Neurospora crassa OR74A: one gene and its partners. The protein of the gene in region 3 binds, or shares a complex with, the protein of the main gene of each other region. Links are inferred from orthologs where the notes say so. Each region holds a gene or a part of one and is shown on either strand. Other genes may lie near its edges. The genes, in order: pcn, NCU08427 and NCU06767.

The links.
Region 1: the proteins of NCU06767 (region 3) and pcn are in contact, whole or in part, in a crystal structure (PDB 1SXJ), measured with the Saccharomyces cerevisiae proteins. The link is inferred for Neurospora crassa OR74A from reciprocal best matches to the Saccharomyces cerevisiae genes RFC1 and POL30. Residues at the interface, in NP_014860.1 of Saccharomyces cerevisiae: Lys331, Asp373, Ile374, Leu375, Ala390, Gly391, Asn394, Ala395, Leu396, Asp397, Asn398, Met399, Ser400, Val401, Val402, Tyr404, Phe405, Lys406, His418, Phe419, Ser448, Thr449; in NP_009645.1 of Saccharomyces cerevisiae: Val40, Asp42, Ser43, Arg44, Val45, Leu46, Leu47, Asp124, Leu126, Lys127, Ile128, Gly208, Lys210, Tyr211, Glu232, Ala233, Pro234, Phe249, Ala251, Pro252, Lys253, Phe254.
Region 2: the proteins of NCU06767 (region 3) and NCU08427 are in contact, whole or in part, in a crystal structure (PDB 1SXJ), measured with the Saccharomyces cerevisiae proteins. The link is inferred for Neurospora crassa OR74A from reciprocal best matches to the Saccharomyces cerevisiae genes RFC1 and RFC3. Residues at the interface, in NP_014860.1 of Saccharomyces cerevisiae: Glu635, Gln636, Trp638, Ser639; in NP_014109.1 of Saccharomyces cerevisiae: Asp120, Met122, Thr123, Asn124, Ala125, Gln127, His151, Lys152, Leu153, Pro155.

What each region holds. Positions count from the first base shown.
Region 1 is NC_026501.1:9,447,411-9,450,686, reverse strand, and holds pcn (proliferating cell nuclear antigen), read right to left. Parts: upstream 2,293-3,276; 5' UTR 2,057-2,292; intron 1,936-2,056; 5' UTR 1,934-1,935; coding exon 1,892-1,933; intron 1,796-1,891; coding exon 1,076-1,795; intron 1,003-1,075; coding exon 985-1,002; 3' UTR 630-984; downstream 1-629. Other genes in the region: NCU09240 (hypothetical protein), read right to left, coding at 2,994-3,276. UniProt on the Saccharomyces cerevisiae protein: This protein is an auxiliary protein of DNA polymerase delta and is involved in the control of eukaryotic DNA replication by increasing the polymerase's processibility during elongation of the leading strand. Involved in DNA repair.
Region 2 is NC_026502.1:4,031,830-4,035,577, forward strand, and holds NCU08427 (activator 1 subunit 3), read left to right. Parts: upstream 1-1,457; 5' UTR 1,458-1,588; coding exon 1,589-1,722; intron 1,723-1,783; coding exon 1,784-2,427; intron 2,428-2,490; coding exon 2,491-2,882; 3' UTR 2,883-3,152; downstream 3,153-3,748. Other genes in the region: NCU10392 (hypothetical protein), read left to right, coding at 1-1,044; NCU08428 (MFS transporter), read right to left, coding at 3,153-3,490, 3,555-3,748. UniProt on the Saccharomyces cerevisiae protein: Component of ATP-dependent clamp loader (RFC and RFC-like) complexes for DNA clamps, such as the POL30/PCNA homotrimer and the checkpoint clamp DDC1:MEC3:RAD17 complex.
Region 3 is NC_026502.1:2,004,388-2,008,135, forward strand, and holds the start of NCU06767 (replication factor C subunit 1), read left to right. Parts: upstream 1-1,012; 5' UTR 1,013-1,293; coding exon 1,294-1,399; intron 1,400-1,461; coding exon 1,462-1,507; intron 1,508-1,563; coding exon 1,564-1,605; intron 1,606-1,668; coding exon 1,669-3,748. Other genes in the region: NCU06768 (mitochondrial 54S ribosomal protein YmL47), read right to left, coding at 1-52, 137-577. UniProt on the Saccharomyces cerevisiae protein: Component of the ATP-dependent clamp loader RFC complex for the POL30/PCNA homotrimer DNA clamp.

The DNA of each region.
Region 1 (3,276 bases), on a different chromosome or scaffold from region 3:
TCATCAATCAAATAAACTGCGATATCGCCCTCTCGTGCCACCCATTTGCCCACATCTTGATTCGAGTCCTCGAATGGTCCAGAAATTCGCCGCTAACGGTCATGGCACAGGGCCGGCCAGTCAATGACTCTTTTTTTTTTCCCCAGGAACCACCCATGCCCCGCCAAAAAGTTTCCTGCAGGGCGGGTTAGGGGCAACTTGAATGCGGAGTCCATTCAGCTGCTGGGCGCGCCCCGGGCCCTGGGCTGTTGTAGGCGGGAGGGGACGTCACGCAGGTGGTGGGTAGGTAAGTTACATACATTGAATGAACAATGTGGGGAAGCTGGTGAACACCAGGAACTTCATCGGATGAAAAAAAAAAAAAAAAAAAAAAAAAAAAAAAAAAAAAAAAAAAAAAAAAAAAAAAACAGTCGGGTGGAAGATTTCTGGAAAACACGCCGACTGACGGGAAGTGGTGATGTCAGTACTGGTGTACTTGTGATTGAACCCACTTCTGAGATACCTACTTTCAACGCCAAGCTGAACTCCCGAGAAGCGATGATTACCATAGTGATACAGGGAGGACAGTTTGCCGATATCAATGTTAGAAACCATCAGACAAAAAAAAAAAAAAAAAAAAAAAAAAAAAAGGAAACGACAACAGCATCGGGTTCCTTGGTGAAGGTGTGTTGTTGGAGGCCATCGCAATAATCATTGACACCTCGTCGTCTCCCCTAAACATTCATCTTCGCAGCAGAAAGAACAAAACGCCCTCTAAAACATTTGTGTGTAGTGTACTAGTGCCAGACTCTTTCAAAAACACAGATTTCTTTTTCTTCATATCCCTTTTCTTCTTCTCATCACTGCATCACCCCTTATCTTCTACATGACTTGCAATTCTCCTCCTCCCCATGATTTTATAGCAACTCGAGGTATACATGAAGGCATAGTTTCGTGGTGTTCGTAACAAAGATGTGGTTCGGTTGTTGGAGGTAAATGGGGCGTTTACTCCTCGTCGCCAATCTGTGAATCAGAACCAGTTAGCATCACGCCTGACAGAAAACAACCACCCAGAAAATGACAAACAAAGACATACCTTGGGCGCAAGATAGAACCTCAAGTAGCTGCTAGCCGAAATGTTGTACTCGACCAAAAGGGGCACCTCGTTGGAGAGGCAGATCTTGACCGTGCTCGACAGCGCGCTCGCCTTGCAAAAGTTGACCAGGTACTTGAGCGAGAACGTGAGGGAAACCGGCTCGCTCAACTCAATCTCGATATTCTCGCTGGGCTTATCAACGTTGGTGTGCTGGCGGAGGGTAATGCTGCCGTTGCCAATGTCGCCCTGGCAGCTAAACTTGACGCCGTCCTTGCTCGCCTCAATGTTGACGCTCTCGCTCATGGCCATGAGGTCGGTGGTGATGCGCTTAAACTCAGAAGACGGCATGCTGATGGTGGCCGCGTACTCGGTATCCGGAATGCCCAGGTGCTCCTGGTCAATGTCCATGAGCTTGAGGTCGTACTCGGAGATACGGTCGTTTTCGGAAGATTCGAAGACGAGGTTGAGCACGTCGGGCGCGTCCTCGGCCTTGAGCGTCAGGATGTCCTCGTTCTGGGCGGCGCGGAGCACCTTGGTCAGCGACGTCAGGTTGACGCCGAGCGCAATGTTGCGGTCGCACCGGAAGGGCGAGAAGGTCTCCGTCTTGAGCATCATGGACACGAGCGCGACGTGCGAGTTGTCCATGGCTTGCAGGGCGATGCCCGAGTCGTTGCAGTCGAAGTTGCAGTCCTGCACGAGGTCCTTGATGGCGTCGACGACCTGGACATCATCGTCATCATCATGACAGAGTTAGTGGGGGTCTTCTAGCTGGGAAAGGAAACAGACAGCACTTGACAGGAAGAGGACATGACATACCTTCTTCAGGATCGACGCCTGCTCCAACCGTGCTTCAAGCATTTCTGTTGTTGTGGTAGTCCTCCAGTCAGCAACCCATCACTCCAGTTCTCCAGCTTTTCTTCCTAGTGCCGGGCCAGCGAGCAAGCGAGCAGGCAGCTTCACGCTCAGACAGAGACGACATACTGATGGATGTGAATTACCGAACTCGACGGGGGAAAAAAAGACAAAGAGGGAAGAAAATATGCGCGCGCTGGGTATCACTTTCGGGAGAGAGAGGCGCTCGTGGTTTGACGAAGAAAGAAGAGAGAAGAAAAGATTTGGATTTGGGAAGAGTTATGGTTTTGTTCAAAAAGCTGCAACAGGCAGGCAATGGACGATAAAAAGAGAGGAACCACCAATACCACAGGTGGTGCCGGGACACCCACTTCGCGACTTGACGCGCCTGCTAATGGCAGCTAAACGCGCTGAGCCGGGGTTAGGCTTAATTGATTTACCGCTTCAGGCTAGCTCCCGGTGCACGGTCCCGTTCTCCAGCGCTGTTAGTCCGCTTTCAGGCGCAATCTTCGCGTTTTCAGTGGGAGCTGTCGCCCTGAATCCCCTCTTTCTGTTTGGATCGTGTCTCGACGGCAATGTCGAACCAAAGGTATGCTGCTCACTTCAAGTTCCGATGATATGACTTCAACTATTCGACTCCCTCATTTCTGCGCGAACTCTGTTCTACCTCCATTCTCCAATATATTTTGATTATTACATTATTTCACCTATCTTACACCCTCCCCCAACTCAAAAAAGAATTTGTTACAGAATGCCCGCCCAAGATCGTCTGTATAAACTGTGTAAACGCCGTTAAATTCTGTGTCCCACATTGCTCGCTTGCCTGCCCCAGCTTTCAAATGTTCCCATGGTCTGTATGTCCGTCAAAACGCCATTCTACCCAAAGTTGTTGTTGTTGTTGCTGTTGTTGCTTTTCAAGAAAACTGGCAAGCTGACCTTCTCGTCGTTGTTGTTCGCCCCTCTCTTTTGTCTGCGCGCAATGCCTTGATGCCATGTAAGATTATAGTGGTCAAAGAAAAGAAACCCGAAAGAAAGACAGCGCGAATGCCGCAGAGTTTGTCTGTCGTCATAAAGAAATCCTCGTCGGCGCCGCACTCCTGCCGTTTCCCCCGCCTGGTCCCATGGTTGTATGTCTCTTCGGCCTCAGATTAATCACCATCTCCAACTCCTTCAACATGCCCCTACTCGCTTCCGCCTTCTCTCTCTGCATTGCCCTCATCTCTCTCTCCTCTTTCATTTTCACCAATCTCTCTTCCCTGGTCAGCATACTCCTGGGCCGAGCCGATAGCGCAACCGCCTCAAACACATCCGGCTCGTTGGGACTTGGCGAGGAGTTTCGTGTGGGAGAC
Region 2 (3,748 bases), about 2.0 Mb from region 3:
GAAGAAAGAGGATGGACCTACCAGGAGCGTATTCTGTCCCTGCGGTATATGTACTTTGTCGATGACACGGTACACTTCCAGTGTCAACAAGCCACTTGGAGCGAAGACTTTGCAGCCGAGTGTCGGGACCTGGACTTGACCGCCGCTGACCAAGTGGTAAACTTCAGTATTGTCCCCAGTGAAGTTCCTCCCACGGTTGAGTTGCGGCCTAATTTGCAGTTCCAGCTCAAGCGATATCCCGAGCTGGTAGGGCAATACACATGTCGCAATATGACATTCATAACCGACCGCGTGAATGGAATCCAAGGTATCTTGAACGTGATCAAAGATCATTTCTTTTCTCAGAATGTCGAGTTTGTGCACGGGATGCCCACGGGGGAGCTCCTGCATCCAGGGCTTCTTTGGCGACCACGACGGGAGCCGAAGAGAATCCATATGGATGAGAAGACAGAAAGACCCCTGTGGCCAAGTTGGGCATGGGCCGGGTGGACTATACCAGTCTACTACGACTCGGGTGCTGACTTTTCGGCCAACAGCACTGGTCGATATCAAGCAGAAATCAGCCTTGGCCCGGACCCCTACTTTTTACACCTGAAGGCTCGCGTCGCTCGGTTCAGACTCATGATTGAGGACCGAGGCAATGAGGATGCGGTCCCTCCACTACCTCGGGTCCGGCCAACACGGTTGACGCGGTATGCCATCACACATGCGACACATCCTGAGGGAGGTGATCACGAGTGGATTGGATCCATATGGTTGTCGTGGTCCCACCGAAGAAAGTTCGTTGAACAACGGTTGAGTCTTATTTCGAAGGGTACACACGAGTTCATTCTTCTTTCAGACGCAGACAAGTTCGAGCAAGAGGAACTGGTGCAAGCGGCAACAGCCGAGAAGAGAGCCGTGGTCAACGTCATGATGATCGAACGAAAGGATGATCCAAGGACGGATGGTCGGGTTCGCATTGAGCGTGCGGGTGTGGGCCGAATGTACAGAGATACCTGGGATCGAGTTGAAGATAAGTGGGAGAGGTTTGAGTTGGGATGAGACGGAGTGATGAGGCTGGTAGCCAAAGGAGTCACTTGGTCGGGCATCCTCAATATTGGCGTCCCGACCCAGAACTGGAGTGGGAACGTTGATGTGATTGGTGGTTCAATTTCATTGGAAAGAGAGCAGTAAACTTAGTTCACTAAGAGAAGAGGATGTCCACATGTGAAGAGATTCCATCCTAGAGAACAAGGAGAGTGAAGTGAGGGTGAGCCTTTGAGGTTGTAAAGTTGAAGTTTTCAAACAGAGACCATGGATGAATGAGTGGAAGAACAGTTGAGCTTCATTAAACTGTGGCTGGGGTACCAATACTCCACTAACCGTGTGTGGCTCAGCGCCCAAAACCAATTAACCAGCCACACGAGGGGCCTGTTGCCCGACGCGTCTGTCCTTCCTCTCGACGCGTTTTCCCAGCTTCACTTTCCCGGCCTCACCAAGTAAAAAACACCACCCAACCATAAAGTTCACGTCGGCGCAAAACCTCCAGAGTAGACTTCAGATCACATCAGCCTCGACATCAGCGACCCAGCCCAATTCTACCACCATGTCGGACTTTGAAGACGAAATGGACATTGATGTCCCAGTGTCCAAGGACGTCATGTTCGCTGCCACCAACACGGCCAAGGGCAAGCGAAGCGCTGCCAACCTGCCTGTTGAAGCAGAAGACAGTCTCCCATGGTAGATATTGCCCCCCATATGTCTTCATATGCCTATCAAATATCTAACCAGCCTGTGACAGGGTCGAGAAGTACCGCCCCGTATCCCTCTCCGATGTGTCTGGCCAACAAGACATTCTCGCAACCATCAACAAGTTTGTCGACACGAACCGACTCCCCCATCTCCTATTCTACGGTCCCCCCGGTACCGGAAAAACATCGACCGTTCTCGCCCTGGCCCGACAAATCTATGGCGCCGCCAACATGCGCCAGATGGTGCTCGAGTTGAACGCTTCCGATGACCGTGGTATCGACGTTGTGCGCGAGCAAATCAAGACCTTTGCCTCCACCAAGCAGATCTTCTCCCTCGGCTCCTCCTCTTCGCGCTCGGGGCTGGCTGGTTTCAAGCTTATTATTCTCGACGAGGCCGATGCTATGACGTCCACAGCGCAGATGGCCCTCCGTCGCATCATGGAAAAGTACACGGCCAACACTCGCTTCTGCATCATTGCCAACTACTCCCACAAGCTCAGCCCAGCCCTCCTGTCGAGATGCACACGGTTCCGTTTCAGCCCTCTAAAAGAAAAAGATATTCGTGTCTTGGTGGACAAGGTCATTGACGAGGAAAACGTCAAGATTCTGCCAGATGCTACCGATGCGCTGGTGCGGTTGAGCAAGGGTGATATGCGTCGGGCACTAAACGTGCTCCAGGCTTGCCACGCGTCAAGTAAGTGGTGGTGTCCTCGTCTCGCCTTCTGTTGCGGGCCTCAAGCTAACCCAGGTCAACCAGGCACACCACTCCAACCAAAGAACGCCCCCAAGATCGCCGAAAAGGACATTGTACGGGAAACCATCACCATTCGAACCATCTACGACTGCGTTGCCGCCCCACCACCCGACGCCATCAAAAAGATTCTCAGCACACTTTTGAGCACGAGCGACGTCACAACCTGTCTGTCGACTATCAACACCCTCAAGGTTGCACAAGGTTTGGCCCTTGCCGACATTATCACCGCTCTGTCGGAAGAGATCGTCAAGCTGGAAGTCAAGCCGCAGGTCATGATCACATGGCTTGATGAACTTGCCAAGATTGAGCATCGGGTAGCGAGCGGAGCCGGAGAGGTGATCCAGACTGGTGCGGTAGTGGGTGCGATACGGAATGGTGTAGAACTGATGGGATAGGGTTGTTGTTGTTGAGACTCAAAAGCAAAAAGCTACTCGGTGTTGTTTTGTCTGCATCTATGGTTCGGAGTTTAAGCATCTGGCGTTTGGGCAATCGATCAAATTTTACCTTCTTCGACTGAAGTTACCAACTCCTCATTTCCACCTTTTATATTATGCCCCTTTCTTCCTACGGCAGGGGGATATCACGACGGAGAGCTACAATACGGCAAGAAATATAGATGGATAAGTAATCACTATTCATCGCGAGACTAGCTAATGATATCCAGCTTAATAGATGTACCTGAATCCCGCTGCTCTCCTATCACCCGACGCCGCAACAGCCGCAGTCTCTGGGTTCTCAGCCTCTTCCGCCTCGGCCCTCTCCAGCTTCTTGTTCTCCCATTTGTGCAGGTAGCGCAAGAACAACGCCAACAATCCCACAAAAAGGCAGATTACAGAATTTGCACTACCTCCAGGTATGTACTGTGGCGCCGCCGAAGCCGGGTACATGTATGACCCGTAAATACTCGCTGTGTTTCCAAACATGTTGGCAATAGCCACAGCAGCCGAGCGCTTGACCATGGGACGAGGGAACGAGTTGGCAACCCACGACAGGATGATTTGGTCTGTGGGTCTGTTAGTCCTCACCTTCACCAGGAACTACGATAAAGCAACGAAAAAACCACTCACAAGAAGAAACTGCTCCCATGGGCATCAAGAACATGGCAAAGAACCGTGCTCCCACCTTGGTCGTGCCCGTCGCCACCGCGTTTCCCACCGCAGCCAGCAGCATCAAGAAGAAGATATGCAAACTGCGATCGCCCGTCTTGGAACTCGTCCACGTCACACAGACGGAGATCAAAAAGGTCGCGAACCACACGGGA
Region 3 (3,748 bases):
CAACTCTGGTCGCCCAGTGGTCGAACGAACCCTTACCCTTACCCATACGCATCTACACCGGAAATGCATGTGAGCCTCATGTCCGCTAACAGTCGGCATCCGGCCTTCCCGGGCTGTGGGTTGTTCAGCTGCTCACCTCGTTACCGCTGACGTACACACCGACGTTACAAGCAACGCGCTTGTACAGGCGGTACTTCTGACCACGCAACCTCTGCTTGATGGTGTCCTCGGCGAGCTTGAGCTGTTGGGCGCTAATTCTGCGGTGGTGATCGCGCATGCGCAGGCCGTAATCTCCCCAAACCACTGTTGTTCCTTTGGTCGAACCACCCGTCGGCACTCTGGGCCTTCCCTTCATCATCTTCTTCTTTCTGTTGAGGTTGGGCTCGAGCCACGAACCAGCCTGGATGGCGGTCGCAGAGAATAGGCGGACATGGGAGGCGACGGAAACGGGGGTCGGCGCAATGGGGCGACGGACGGCAGAGGTTGCGAGCGACGCGGCACGGAAGGGAGTCGCCGACGAGGATATCCTAAGGCCCTGGAAGGCGCTGAGGAGCGCCGAGGAAGCGTTGTGCTTCATTGTGTTGAAGGTTTGGGTGTGGACCGGACCGGGGAGGGGACGAGTGGTGGACGGAGGACGGAGGGAGGGTCCAATTGGATGCCGGTCGCCGACGACGATTGATACGGATTCCCCGAAGCAGCGCGCGCACAGAGACGGGGACCGGGCAGAGCGACTACCTGCAATGGAAGGTGCTGCGGGCGCGGACGGGGCACGGACGGCACTTCCAAAAATTGTGACCCACCAAAAAGTGTCGGGTGCCGGCCGCGACATGGAATCTGCCGGACACAGCAGACAAGCGGGACCTGGGACTCATTCATTGACTCCTCACAAGAAATACAGCTGCGTGGGCGTAGCTCAAGGCAGCAAGTTGGCGAATTCTTGTAGGACAAGGCCCCACCAGTCGCGACAGGGGAGCAGAGCCCGGACACAGACTCGCGTCATCCACTTCACCTTCGCGTCTCACTCATCATTCAATTGTTACTTCCGTCTTTACAAGGGACAAGAGTCGACCCGTTAGCTCTTTACCCTTCTAGGCCTTTTGTTCAACAACACTTGTTAGGCAGAAGGACAGCTGCCTGGACAACTCAGACACCAAGAACAAAAGTCCCTACTTCCCAACTCCGCCACTATAAGAAGATGCTTGCTGGTGTCATCTGATTGTTACATCTTCCCAACCTTTTGACACATTCAATTTATCATTTTGTATCCAGTGATTTCTTCTCACATACTCCATCATGCCTGCCGACATTCGCTCGTTTTTTGGTCCAAAAGGTGGCGCGCCGCCTGCTAAGCCGGCAACACCAGCACCCAAGAAGGAAGAGGAGAAGAAGACCCGGGGTAGTAAGCTTGAACCATGATCGCCATCACAAGCTTATCACGTTATATTAACAATCTTGTCGCAGGGCCAAGAAAGGTTGTTGAGGACAGCGAAGATGACGAGGTTGTTGAGTAAGCTTAGTGAAAAGCATCTCTTCTCAGAACTAGCATCTAACCAGCATGTGTAGAGTCAAAAAGCCAACCAAGGCTGCGCCAAAGAAGAAAGTAGCGTAAGTGTTTATGAAACACCTCTCAGTTCCATGTCATCCTATTCCTGCTGACAGACTATCTAGGGAACCCGTAAAAGGAGTTGAAACCGATGCTGCCAAGTACTTTGCAACCTCAAAAACAAAAACTGCTGCTGCGTCCCAGTCAACACCGAAAAAGACACCCGCAAAACCCGAGCCAGAAGAACCAAAAGTAGCGCTTCGAACAAGCCCGCGGAAGAAAGCCACCCCCGCTGCCAAAGCACCAGAGCCTCCCAAGACTACTACAAAGAAGACCTCGACTACGAAGAAACCCACGACGGCCTACAAGAGTTACGACAAGGATGACGATGGCGATGCCTACATGGATGATGAGCACGATGCTGGAGAGGACATATTTGCGGCGGAATTCAAGGGTGGCAGCAAGAGGAAAAAGGACGACGACTATGCCGAGGAGGACAGTGACGAGGAGCTCCTCCCCAAGCCCAAGCGAATGGCATCTCGCGCCAAAACAGCAGCCGTAGCCGAGTCTGACGACGAAGACGTCAAGCCTGGACCCAGCAAGCCGAACAAGAAATCTACAACTACTACGGCAGGGAAGCGGAAATCCTCGGTTGTTATAAGTGACGAGGAAGACGAAGAGGAAGAAGAAGTCAAGCCAGCGAAGAAGAAGGGAGCCCCCGCTAAGCCCCGTGCGCCAAGGGCAAAGAAGGATGCGGCGGTTGAAGAACCCGAGGACGTCAAGAAGATCCTCGACAATATTCCCACAATTGAAGCACCAGATGCTCCTCCCAAAGACCCCAACGTCAAGTTTGACTGGAAGACCAAGGCCGCCGGAGCTGGCAATGCGGGTCCACCCCCCATGGCGGGCACTGCCGACATTCCTGAAGGTGAAATTGATTGTCTGGCGGGTAAGACCTTTGTGTTCACCGGCCTGCTCAAGACTATCGCGCGTGAGGAAGCCCAAGCACTCGTCAAGCGCTATGGTGGCAAGGTCACAGGAGCGCCATCCAGCAAAACCGATTTCGTCGTTCTCGGCGACGATGCAGGACCCAGCAAGCTGAGGAAGATCAAAGAGCATGGGATCAAGACCATTGATGAGGAGGGCTTGTTTTACCTCATCAGGACGATGCCCGCCGGTGGTGGCACCGGAAAGGGGGCGGAGAAGGCCAAGCAGAAGCGGGAGGAGGAAGAGAAGAAGGTGCGTGAAGAGGCCGAGAGGCTAGATCGCGAAGAGAAGGCTCTGCGACTGGCGGCTGAGAAAGAGGCCAAGAAGGCCGCTGCTGCTCGCGGTGTTTCTGGTCCCGTCCCTGCTGCTCTGCCCCCACCGTCGTCACAGCTCTGGACAACAAAGTATGCCCCCACGGCGATGAACCAGATCTGCGGCAACAAAGCCAACGTGGAGAAGATACAGAACTGGCTTAAAAACTGGCCCAAGTCTAGAAAGTACAACTTCCAAAAGAGAGGCGCCGATGGTTCAGGTGGATACCGTGCTATTATCATCTCCGGTCCTCCTGGTATCGGCAAGACAACTGCGGCGCATCTTGCTGCCAAGATGGAAGGCTACGACGTGATCGAGAGCAACGCCAGTGACACTCGCAGCAAGAAACTCATCGAGAGCGGTGTTAGTGAGGTCATGACCAACACATCTCTTCTAGGTTTCTTTGGTGGAGATGGTAAGCATGCTGATGCCCGCAAGAAGAAGATTGTTCTCGTCATGGACGAGGTCGACGGTATGTCCGCTGGTGATCGCGGAGGTGTCGGTACTATGGCCAAATTCTGCAAGAAGACCGAGGTGCCGCTCATCTTGATTTGCAACGAGCGCAGATTGCCAAAGATGAAGCCTTTCGATCATGTCGCCTTTGACATCAAGTTTCAGCGTCCCACGGTCGACCAGATCCGCTCGCGTATCATGACCATCTGCCACAGAGAAGGTCTCAAGATCCCGCCACCGGTCGTCAATGCTCTCATCGAAGGTAGCGGTAGGGACATTCGGCAGATCATCAACATGATCTCTACAGCGAAGCTGGATCAGACCACCATGGATTTTGATCAAAGCAAGCAAATGAGCAAGGCCTGGGAAAAGCACGTCATCCTCAAGCCTTGGGATATTTGCCAGAAGCTGATCGGCGGTGGCATGTTCGCCCCTTCCAGCACGGCAACTCTG